Linked DNA regions of Drosophila melanogaster. The protein of the gene in region 1 interacts with the protein of each later gene in a biochemical or structural test. Each region holds a gene or a part of one and is shown in the gene's direction. Other genes may lie near its edges.

Region 1 (7,885 bases):
GCAATCCCAGCAAAGGACGCAAACGGAGCGGCAACAGGATCACAAGGGACGACGCGATAAGCCAGCGGAGCGGTTTCAGGAGCACCAATGGCGGCACAACGAGCAAACGCAGCACAGGCAGCGGTACCAGGAGGACAGAGGGCGGCATAACGACCAAATGGATCGTTTTAAGGAGCACAAGGACCGAGGACAGCGACAAGAGCATCGGGACTGGCGCAACGAGCGCAGAGATTGGTACCAGCATCATGATGACAGCCGGAAGAGAAGCCGCAGTCCGAGCAGGCATCGACATGGCGATAGGCGTCGGGAGGAGCGAGAGCCACGCGAGAAGCAGCACAATAGGCATCGCTCCCAAACCGCTCGTCATTAGAGCGGCATGTGATGGTGCCGCTTCCATTGGCAGCGAAACTGGTGGCCATTACATGGTGCTGTGGTCATTTGAGTCCAGCCGACTGTTTATTTGGGTACTCAGATAATGAACAAAGCAAAAAAAAAATCAGATAATTGTGGTCTATAATCCTGGCTAGCTGCGGGGAGCGTCTACTTGGTGGAGACGCGCGTGCGCTTGTTCCAGGCAAAGTTGATGCCGTAGTTCTTGACGCGCTCCTTCTTGGGCTTCGCGGCGCCGTCGACGTACCAGCGCCATCCGTTCCGTTCGCAGAACGTGATGGCCTCCTCTGGGGATCCGAACTGCACGTTCATGTTGGACAATGGGTCGCCGCTGGAACACGAGACGTTGACCAAGGTTGCCATGGCATGGTGGACGTGCCAGCTACTCACCTGGAGGCCCAGCCCATGAGCGGATTCTCCCAGCGCTCGCGGTTGTCGAACTCGATTTGCCAGGTGTTCACGTTATCGGTGCCGCTCTGCATTGCGTTCTTGGGCGGAATATGGATGCGCACACGGCGCTCCCGAATGTGCTCCTCCGGAACGCCGCTGATCGGGCTGAGATTGACGGCAGTCGGCACGGTGATCTTGCCACTCAGCTTGTTGCGCTGCTCCAGCTCTTCGGGGCGGGCCAGGGCCGTCTTGGGGTCCAGCGGACCGCCGTCCGTGGCGGTGGATGCCCAGCGGGCAGCGGCTGCCCTGTTGGCCTGGTACCTGCGGTGTCAAGATGCGAAAGTGGATAATTAGAGGGCTGCAGATTTGCCAGGTCGGATGCACTTGCTCCGGCCAGGCGGGGGTACCTACAGCTGCAGGGAGGCGGTGCTTCTGCACATCACTTGGCGGAGGGCCGACATTTCGCTAGGCGTTTGGGGCTACACGGCAGAAATCGGCTTCAAAATACGAATTACGTAAAATTTGGAACACAAGCGCTTTTCGATTGGGAAAACAGCTGTTCGCCAGTGCCAGTGTGACCAGGCGAGCGGTGAGTGTTTTTATTCTAATTGGAAACAGTGTGGCCCCTCGCCTTGGATGCGATGCCACAATAGTTCAAAAACAGTTTTCTTCTTTTTCACTTCGAACTTCGCAAAAACTATGAAATGCTGTTCAAGTGGTAAAATGAACTTTAAAATGAAAATGAATGAAATGAAATACACTGATGATGAACTAGAGAAGTAACTAGAACTAAAACTATGCTATTTGTAAGCCAACTGTTTAAATGATGAGCATTGCATTTGCCCAGTGCTGCCAGATATGTAGGTGTTCTTAGCTCCTTTTAGCTTAATTTCACCATTAGCTGATTATTGGCAAAGGAGCCCGTTTCGCTTATCGATTCTAATATCGATTTGAATCGGTCAGGGTCCTTATTCTTTCAGTTATTCATCGAACTGCGGAATGCCGCCGGCCCTACCACATGGCAATAGCGAAACGTTGTGGCAACGCCTCGCCTACTTGCAACTTTTGTGTCAATCAATACATGTTGAAAACAGATAAAGACACAAATTTTTCAGTTCATCTAAATTGCCACTGATCCAGGCAGAACAGCACGGCGGCAGAACAGTCCCATCCAGAACAGCGACATGGGCGTTCCCAAGTTCTTTCGCTACATCAGCGAGCGATATCCGTGCCTCAGCGAATTGGCGCGGGAGCACTGCGTAAGTAAAGCTGCTAGGTCACGTTATATGTTGCCATGCACCGTACGGTTCCTTTGCAGATACCCGAGTTCGACAATCTGTACTTGGACATGAACGGCATTGTCCACAACTGCTCGCATCCGGACGACAACAACATACACTTTCACCTGGAGGAGGAGCAGATATTCCAGGAAATCTTCAACTACGTAGACAAGCTGTTCTACCTGATCAAGCCGCAGCGCCTCTTCTTCCTTTCAGTTGACGGGGTGGCTCCACGGGCCAAGATGAACCAGCAGCGCAGCCGGCGATTCCGGACGGCGCGCGAGGCGGAGCAGCAGGAGGCCAAGGCGGCCCAGCGAGGCGAGTTGCGAGAGCACGAGCGCTTCGACAGCAACTGCATTACGCCGGGCACCGAATTCATGGTGCGTCTGCAGGAGGGACTGCGCGCCTTTCTCAAAACGAAGATTTCGACGGATCCGCTGTGGCAGCGTTGCACCGTAATCCTAAGTGGCCAGGAGGCGCCCGGCGAGGGCGAGCACAAGATCATGGACTACATTCGGTACATGAAGACGCAGCCGGACTATGATCCCAATACACGACACTGCCTTTACGGCCTGGACGCCGATCTGATCATTCTGGGCCTCTGCACCCACGAGCTGCACTTCGTGGTGCTGCGCGAGGAGGTCAAGTTCGGGCGCAACGTCAAGCGCACCTCGGTGGAGGAGACGCGCTTCTTCCTGCTGCACCTGGGTCTGCTGCGCGAGTACCTCGAGCTGGAGTTCGACGCCCTGAGAACAGACGAGCACAAATTGGACATTGCGCAGCTTATCGACGACTGGGTGCTGATGGGCTTTTTGGTCGGCAACGACTTCATTCCCCACCTGCCGTGCCTGCACATTTCATCAAATGCACTGCCGCTGCTCTACCGCACCTACATCGGCATTTACCCGACCCTCGGCGGCAACATCAACGAGAACGGCAAGCTCAACCTGCGCCGCTTGCAGATTTTCATATCGGCCCTCACCGAGGTGGAGCTGGATCACTTCAAGGAGCACGCCGACGACTTGAAGTACATGAACAACAAATCAGAGGCGTTCGACATGGACGTCGGCGAGATCACCGAGTCTCAAAACCTCGACTCCGATCTCGGAGCCCTCATCAACAAGAGCATGCTGGTATGAACTCTCTGCACTGACCGCCATCCCGTCATTTCCGTCCGCTCAATGCCGCCTTCCCATCCACAGCTCTACGATGACGACAGCGAGGAGGACTGCTCCGACGAGAACGCGGTTCTTCTGAAGGAGTTCCAGAACTACAAGCGAAACTTCTACCGCAACAAGTTCAAGCGTGATCCGAATGATGAACTGATCGAGGAACTGTGCCACCACTACGTCAATGCGCTGCAGTGGGTGCTCGACTACTACTACCGTGGCGTGCAGTCCTGGGACTGGTACTATCCCTTCCACTACACTCCATTCATCAGCGACCTCAAGAACATCGAGCAGGTGGAGATCGCCTTCCACATGGGCACGCCCTTTCTGCCATTCCAGCAGGTGAGCTGAGCACATTTAGTTAGCACCGATAACTTTCCTAGCATCAGGCTTACCATTTCTTAAACATAAACCAGAGCCACCAATTTAGACTATCATTTGCGTATCTCCTTTCTAACATATATCTATCTCCCTCTAATCCAATGGTGGTGCTAGATCATTTGGTTAAAGCAATCTTCTCAACCAAATTATCCATGTATCCATATATCTGCACACATACTAGATTTACTTAAGCCATCTGTCCAATCTTTCATATAAAGCTTCTGGCGGTACTGCCGGCGGCCAGTGCAAAGCTTCTCCCTGTCGCCTACCACGACCTCATGCTGCTGCCGACCAGCCCGCTGGCCGAGTTCTATCCACTGGAGTTCGAGAGCGACCTCAATGGCAAGAAACACGATTGGGAGGCGGTTGTGCTGATACCCTTCATCGATGAGGGTCGGCTGCTGGCCGCTATGCTGCCATGCGAGGCTCAGCTGTCGCTGGAGGAGCGCGAACGCAACCGACACGGTCCCATGTATGTGTACAAATACAGTACGGTGGCGCAGGGTCCCATGCCAGCGTATCCACCGCTGAGGGCTCTTCCCGTGCTCTACTGCACGGAGGTGGCCAAGTGGTCGCACGAAATCGCAGTCAATCTGCCGTACAGCGTGTGCATCGAGCTACCAAATGCGGCGAGAACCGTTTTCTTCCCGGGATTTCCCACCATGCAGCATCTGCCCTTCGATGTGAGTGACGCCGGGACACATGCATAACGCTCGCCATGTCCGCCATGTCTAATATGCTTGCTATTCTTTTCCAGTTCGAGCTGCGCAACGACCGCGTCAAGGTGTTCGAACAGGTCAGTCGCAACCAGAACATTGTGCTAAAACCACGCAAGCGCCAGCTGGAGGACACACTGACGGCGGTGGCCTCCCAGTACCTCGGGAAGGTGATCCACGTCGGCTGGCCGCATCTCGTCAAGGCGATAGTGGTGCGCGTGGCCACGCGAGATCAGCGCGTCGACAGCGAGGGAATCACGCTAAACGATTCGCGGCGTTTCGACTCGGAATGCAAGGCACTGCAGGAACAGTTGAGTGTGAAGCCGCCGTCTGGCCCTGCATTCACACTGCTAATGCTCCATCTTCCCTTTCCTCCTTCTCCTCCCACGACAGCTTTATCAATCGTATGGGAATACAGTTTGCCAACTATGATGTGCTCGTCTATGTGCGCACCTTTGCCGGCAATTCGACGGAGTTCCGCGACAAGGGGGCATTGATGGTGCGCGACTCGTGGAGCAGCTCCGTCACCGGCTATCCAGCCCAGGGCGTGGTGGCCGATCTGACTGTGTGGGAAAGAATGCGCAAGAATTTCCTCAACGTGGAGCACTACTTCCCCGTTGGCAGCACGATCTTCTTGATCACGGATCCGTATTACGGCAGCGAGGGAACTGTGCAGGACCCACGGCTGGCCTACACCAACGGCCGGATTCAAGGTAAGTTCGTCTCGCCATGTCCTTGACACCCCATCATCATTTCATCTCTGCAGTCAGCATCATGGTGCGACCGGAACCGAAAGTAAATGCGGCACGTCAGCTGCAGGAAGAGCGGGACCGGGACTATCTGAGCACCTTCCAGGTCTGCAACTTGCTCCGAATCAGTGGCCGCACCCTGGGACGCCTAAGTGGCACCGTGTGGGTGGTGCTCGGTCCGCGGCGTCAGAAGATGGAAAACGTGACCAAGCACAACATTGGCCTGCAGCTCAAGTATCCGCGGCAGAACGAGGAGCGTGCCGGATACTGCTTCCGCACGAACAACCAGTGGTACTACTCCAGCCTGGCCGTGGATCTGATGCGCAACTATTGCCAGCGTTACCCAGACGTTATCGACTTCTTTGGCGACTCCAACGATCGCGCCGAGTTCGTATTCGAACAGGACGTGTTCCCCAATGCGGTTGGCCATCGCCGCGTCGAGGAACTGGCCAACTGGGTGCGCCAGCAGCCGCACATGAAAGTGGAGCGCATCTCTTGCGGCTCCAAGACGGTCTGCCGCGAGACCATCGAACTGCTGATAGCCGCCGTCGACGACCTGCGCTCACTGCCCGTCAAGCACGTTAAACTGCAGGTGAAGCCGCACTTGCTCATCAAGCCCAATGTCACACTGCCAGATGTCTACCGATCAAAGCGCCCGGTGCGTCTCTTCGATCGCGTCGTAATCGTACGCACCATTTACATGGTGCCCGTGGGCACTAAGGGCACCGTGATTGGCATTCATCCCGTTACGGACCCCAACCCGGTCCGCCTGGAGTGCGTCCATGCTGTCGACACGTTCTGCAAGGTGCTGTTCGACAGCCCCGTTCCGAACTGCAACAACATCCATGGCATCGCCGAAGACCGAGTTTACAAGGTGCCCGAAATTGCCCTGGTGATCATCAAGACGGATGGTAAGTGGATTTGGCTGCATAGCCTACAGAATCGGAGGAGGCACATACATAGCAATGCTCCCACTTCCTCTCCTTGCAGAGGAAGGAAAGAAGCAGAACGACTGCGAACTGCCGGTGAGGGATCCTCAGCCGAACCAGGCACAGGACGAGCCAGTCCGCGCGACCAGCAGTCGCTATGTGACCGCCGCAGGGTCCACCTCGGTCCCGATCACGATGAAGACCCAAATTAGCGACGAATTCGTCAAGACGCGTAGCGATCCGATAGCCCGTACGGATTCGTACAAGCCATCGTCGGAGCCAAAACCGGTGCCGGTGCCGGAGCAGATTACCAACTGGCGGGAACGCGTCAGTACGCCAACAAACAAACCGCAGCCTGCGCCAAATAATTGGCGCATAAATCGGTCTTCATCACGTCAACAGGGCGGTAGTATTTTTGTTGCTCCGCCCACAAAAACTCCTGATGCAGCTGCAAGCACTGCTTCCACTGCATTCACCGCAGCCTCGTCCGCAACGCTGACTCCTCTGGATCAGACCTTGGCGCTCATGTCGGTTTTGGGCGTGGGTGAGGACCAGAGCTCGCCGCCACTCCAGGAGGCGGTGCAGCAGCAACGTCCGCCACTACTTCAACAGCAAAGAGCTCCGTTTCCCGGACAAATGCCCGTAACTGCTTTCAGCCCAGATGTGCCACCCAACCATGTGTTCACATAACTACTTTTCATTGCAGAATCTACCCAAGCCACCGCTCTTCTGGCAGCAAGAGGCGCAGAAGCAGGAGGCGCTGCAGCAGGAGGCGCAGCAGCAGGAGGCGCAGAAGAAGCAGCAGCAGGCGCATGCGCAAATGGAGCCTGAACGTATCAATAGCCAGCATTTCTACAGAAGCGGCCAGACAGGAGCGGCGTTGAATCAGCCGCCATTGGGTGCTCCATCAAAAAGGCAGTGGCATGAGTGGGTGCACCCGCGCATGCAGCACGCCAACGCATTCCACGCTGGCGTCAACAATGGATATCAGATGCGTCCCAAAAAGAATATAGCTGCGCAGAGCACCTTTAACAACAACGTGCACATGCACCTCCAGCAACCATATTACCCGAATCAGCAGCAGCAGCAGCAGCAGCAGCAGCCACTCCAGCTGACGGAGATCAACAATGCGCCACCGCGATACTCAACGATCCAAGATTTTGTGCCCATACAGGCGTACCGTCCCAAGAAATTAAATCGCGTCCAACCAGCCGGTCGTCAGGACGTCGATGCCACCAAGAATCCTAGTCGTTCGCCTGTGTTGCAGCAACCGACGAACGAGACTATAGACACAAAGGCCAGTTCTAGTCTTCCGGTACAATCAGCAGGCGAACAGGTGATTGGACTGATGCAAACGCTTGAAATTAAGGTAAGCATTGGCTACAAGTCAAAGCCTTGATTACCGAACTAATGCTTTCCTCTCGGCCGACAGCAGCCGGCTGCGTCGCAGTCCGAATCTGATGGGGTCTCAACAGGCAGTGCGAACGCGCCCACAGCAACGACATCATCCCAGGTAATGGAGGAGATAGAGATAGTTATTCTGCATAATTTACTCATTCCATTTACTCGCTTCTGTTGCAGGCGGTCAACCGAAGGAAGCATCGAGTGCCTCGCATCGGAGCCAAGTTCGACTTGGAATACATACTGCCCGACTCCCCGCATCCAACTTAAGAGCGAACAAATGGGTATTTTTAGGTTCAAATCCCACCTAGCTGAAGAAATGCAACGCTATTTGGATCTTATATCACCTTATTTCTATCTCTCCTAGTCTGTGCGAGGCACTAGAATTGCCGCACACGATAGATCATTTTTTTTTTAGAGTTGCGGATTATGTGAATACTAAAATGAGACTGACTCGTCTTTATATTTTTTCAATAAACT
Region 2 (3,819 bases), on another chromosome or scaffold:
GTTGCGGTGGATTTGGGCCCGCTCTCCATCGTATTTCCACTCGCAGGTGATTTGCATGCCGCCGAATCTCTCAAATACCTCATGGACCCCCTTGGTGGGCTGGGCGAGCATGGGCCTCAGCGGCATGCCGGGATGCATGGGGCAGCGTTCCTGCAGCTCCTTAATATCGTACTTTAGAATGGCCGGTATAATGATATCGTAGTTGGGACACTGACTGCAAAAGTTCGTTAGCATCTGAATTATTAGCTGGTTCTTAAGTTAGTTCTTACCAGTATGCAGTTTTCAACAGCAAAGTGGTGTCGACTATTTCATCCTTATACACATCCGGCACCTTGCTAGCCTTGCAATCATCGATGTGGTTCTTTTTCACCAAACCAATGGCCAGCGCTGTGAGCAAACTCTGCTCTGCAATGCCAATTCTTAGCTTGCCAATCAATGAACGGATAAAGAAGCGAGCCTCCGACGATCGACAGGCCACAAACATATTGTACACCAGGTCCATTTTCGACTGACCGGATAGCTTGGCTATTTCGCGTAGCTTCCGGAACACATCCCTCACATTCAGAGGCGCTGGCTGGAACATCATGCGCTGTGAAACGCGCGACTGCTCGGCCACGATGCCCAGATCCCCGGTTAGCTGCGTCTGCGATTTAATGTGAGCCAAATTACGCCCCGTTGCCTTGCAAATGGCCTTCATCAAGGTGGTCTCGGCAACGCCCAGCTCCAGTCCCTCGTAGGCGGGCGCCAGTTGGTTGATGCTGAGGTAGACGCTGGGCACAAGATCCTCCGGACTGACCAGCATCACAGAGCAGAAGAAGTTGCTCAGCGTGTCGATCATCTTGAGCCGGCCTTTGGTCTCCTCGATTACTTGAAATGTGCGGGCCAGTGCCAAGTAGGGAGTGCTGGAAAGTGTTTCCTTTGATATAATTCGCCTTGGAGGCTCAAAATCCTGCACTACTTACACCTTTTTGTCCTTCCAGTAGGCATTCTTGAGCGGATGATAGGAGTCGGCGGATGGATCGTAGTTTTCCACATCCTCCTTAGTAGCGGCAGTGGAGTTGAGACCTATGGTTGTGACCTTCTTGTCAGTGGTCTTGTCATCGACTTCCTTTGGTTCCTTCTTAACATTTTTCACCGGACTTGTCTTCTCCTCGGAATCCACAGACATAGGTTCTACCTTGGGCTTAGTTTCCGGGGAGGCACTTTCGCTCTTGATGTGGGGTTCATCTGGGAGTTCGGTCTTCGCATCAATCCTATGATTTGTCGAGGAATTTAGTAATGAAACAAGAAAACAGCGGCACCATTTACTTAGGAACTTTCTTGGGCGGCGAGGGGCTGTCGGTGGCATCGGATTTCTTCTTGAAGAAGGAGCTGAAACGGGGGATTGTTAGATTGGCAATACTTAGCATTTGTTAAATCGTAAATTACGTTATAGACTTTTGCATTTTGTGGCAATTCTGTGTTCAAATAAATACAAATTGCAATGCAATTAGTTCCCGCCAGTTTCTAGAGCTGGTCTTCAGTATCGATATATTGAAATGGAAATGCTATCGAAGTTGAAAATTTTATTAGTAAACATAAATTAAATGTTTATGCTACATAATTGAGAAATATTATTACGTACAATTGTGGCCATTTTTATATGCAAGTCAATCGACTTAATATTTCTCAAACAAATCATTAATAGACAAAAGGAAGAGTTTATTGTCATTCGGTGTGACCGCAGCACAGTCGTTGATAAACACGGGAAAACATCCACGGGGCAGTGTGACCAGAGCGCCGTTAAATTCACAAATAATTGCAATTCGCAATAGCACAGCCAAAACTGAAGATTACATACAATTTACAATGGCCGACGAGAGCATCACGCGAATGAACCTGGCGGCCATCAAGAAGATCGACCCGTACGCCAAGGAGATCGTGGATTCGTCCTCGCACGTCGCCTTCTACACGTTCAACTCGTCGCAGAACGAGTGGGAAAAGACCGATGTGGAGGGAGCCTTCTTCATATACCACCGCAACGCGGAGCCCTTTCACAGCATCTTCATCAACAACCGACTGAACACCACGTCCTTCGTGGAGCCCATCACCGGCAGCCTGGAGCTGCAGTCGCAGCCGCCGTTCCTGCTCTACCGCAACGAGCGCTCGCGCATCCGCGGCTTCTGGTTCTACAACAGCGAGGAGTGCGACCGCATCAGCGGCTTGGTGAACGGGCTGCTCAAGTCCAAGGATCAGGGAACGAATGGCCAGGCCCAGCGTCACGTCTCCGCGCCCCAGCAGCCAAAGCAGGACAGCAGCCAGCCGGCCAGCATATTCAACATGCTGACCAAGGCCCAGAAGGACTACAATGCCCAGGTGAGCGGCGGGCAGCCGAAGACGCCTTCGGCGGAGAACGTAACGGCCGGCAATGTGTTGAAGTTCTTCGAATCGGCCAAGCAGGCCACGGCAGAGTCACTGTTCCACCGCGTCCAGCCGCTCTCCGTGGACCAGCTGGAGAAACAGCAGCGGGCAGCCACGCCTGGCGAGGATCTGTTGCCCCCGGCAGGCAGGGACAATCACGAGAGCCGGCTGTCGCCCTTCCAGAAGATGCAGCAGCTTAACATTCAGCTCCTGAGCGACCTGAAGATCGGTAAAAGCTACGCTACGGCTCAATCTCCGACAGTCGCCCCGTCCTCGTCGGCGCTGATGGCCAACGACGATGCCGGCAAGTGCTTGCGGAGACTGCTGGCTGGCGACAAGCCCGGGCCGGCCCTCATGCCGCCCACCATGTTCGACGCGCCCAACAACGGCAATCCGGAGCCACAGCAGCCACAGCAGCCACAGCAGCCACTGCTGAACTCGACGCAGTTCGTCCAGGCCTTCACGTACCTTATCCAGAACGATAAGGAGTTTGCCAACAAGCTGCACAAGGCCTACCTGAACGGCTGTTCCAATCTACTGCTGGACTCCAGCTCCACATATCAATAAACAGAAATATTCAACATTTCCGAATTGCAGCCCATATTTTCATTTGTTCGCATGGAGTTCGAGTTCAAGCCGAGTTAATTTACAAAATGTAATAGCTGTAAGCCGACAAGGGCAGTCGTAGATTTAAAATCTAGAAGCCCCGCCGGAGAAGGACGGCATCCATTTCCAGAGCAACCTTAAGAGTTAACTAACGTAGTTGGTTTTGTGAAGTATTCGTATTTATTTACAAAATGGTTAACTAGGCCGAAGGGGCGTAGAAAAGGTAGTTGAATGGCAAACAGAATTCAATAAACATTAATTTAGTAACAATAAATAACAACGCTTTTATTTAGGCCAATACCTTCAGCTTGCAGAGCAGGTAGTACAGAAAACAAAACAGCCACAGGCTGAAGTCGACGTGGCTCCTGCCCGCCGCCGCGGACGTGGCCACCGTGGTCAGGTTCTTGCCGTATCCCTCGAAGGACACCACGCACTGGTAGGCATCGGGATCGTCGTCGGTGTCGTAGGCCGCCACCACGGCGCTGCCATCGAAGTATCCCTCCTCGTTCTCGTACACCATGGGCTCCCGCTTCACCACGTCCATGTCGTTGGATCTGTAATAGGAGCGGAGTTGAGTTGGGACGTTGTTTACTACAAGGCTGTCTTACGACAAGGCAGGCGCTCGTCCTTACATTATCGTGATGGTGGGCCTGGGATACACGTTCGTCACGGTGCAGTTCAGCTGCGTCTCATTGTGGATCGTCTTGTGGGACAGCTCCAGGGTGTAGTTCCTCAGGTCTATGACCTGAACCCTCTGGTGGCTGGAGAAGGTGTTCAGCGAGGTCTGCACCACGCACTTGTAGTCGCCGGTGG

The links.
Region 2: the proteins of pcm (region 1) and DCP1 form a complex in vitro, tested with the Drosophila melanogaster proteins (one study listed by BioGRID).

Annotation. Positions count from the first base shown.
Region 1 is NC_004354.4:19,485,893-19,493,777, reverse strand, and holds the start of pcm (pacman), read left to right. Parts: upstream 1-1,766; 5' UTR 1,767-1,964; coding exon 1,965-2,039; intron 2,040-2,098; coding exon 2,099-3,193; intron 3,194-3,262; coding exon 3,263-3,571; intron 3,572-3,828; coding exon 3,829-4,293; intron 4,294-4,367; coding exon 4,368-4,636; intron 4,637-4,719; coding exon 4,720-5,039; intron 5,040-5,092; coding exon 5,093-5,986; intron 5,987-6,065; coding exon 6,066-6,646; intron 6,647-6,710; coding exon 6,711-7,373; intron 7,374-7,436; coding exon 7,437-7,517; intron 7,518-7,585; coding exon 7,586-7,675; 3' UTR 7,676-7,885. Other genes in the region: CG12204 (uncharacterized protein), read left to right, coding at 1-370; ND-18 (NADH dehydrogenase (ubiquinone) 18 kDa subunit), read right to left, coding at 541-721, 781-1,101, 1,192-1,241.
Region 2 is NT_033778.4:23,888,222-23,892,040, reverse strand, and holds DCP1 (decapping protein 1), read left to right. Parts: upstream 1-1,764; 5' UTR 1,765-1,848; coding exon 1,849-2,967; 3' UTR 2,968-3,277; downstream 3,278-3,819. Other genes in the region: DNAlig1 (DNA ligase 1), read right to left, coding at 1-214, 270-902, 963-1,253, 1,309-1,371, 1,429-1,445; CG5597 (uncharacterized protein), read right to left, coding at 3,296-3,560, 3,639-3,819.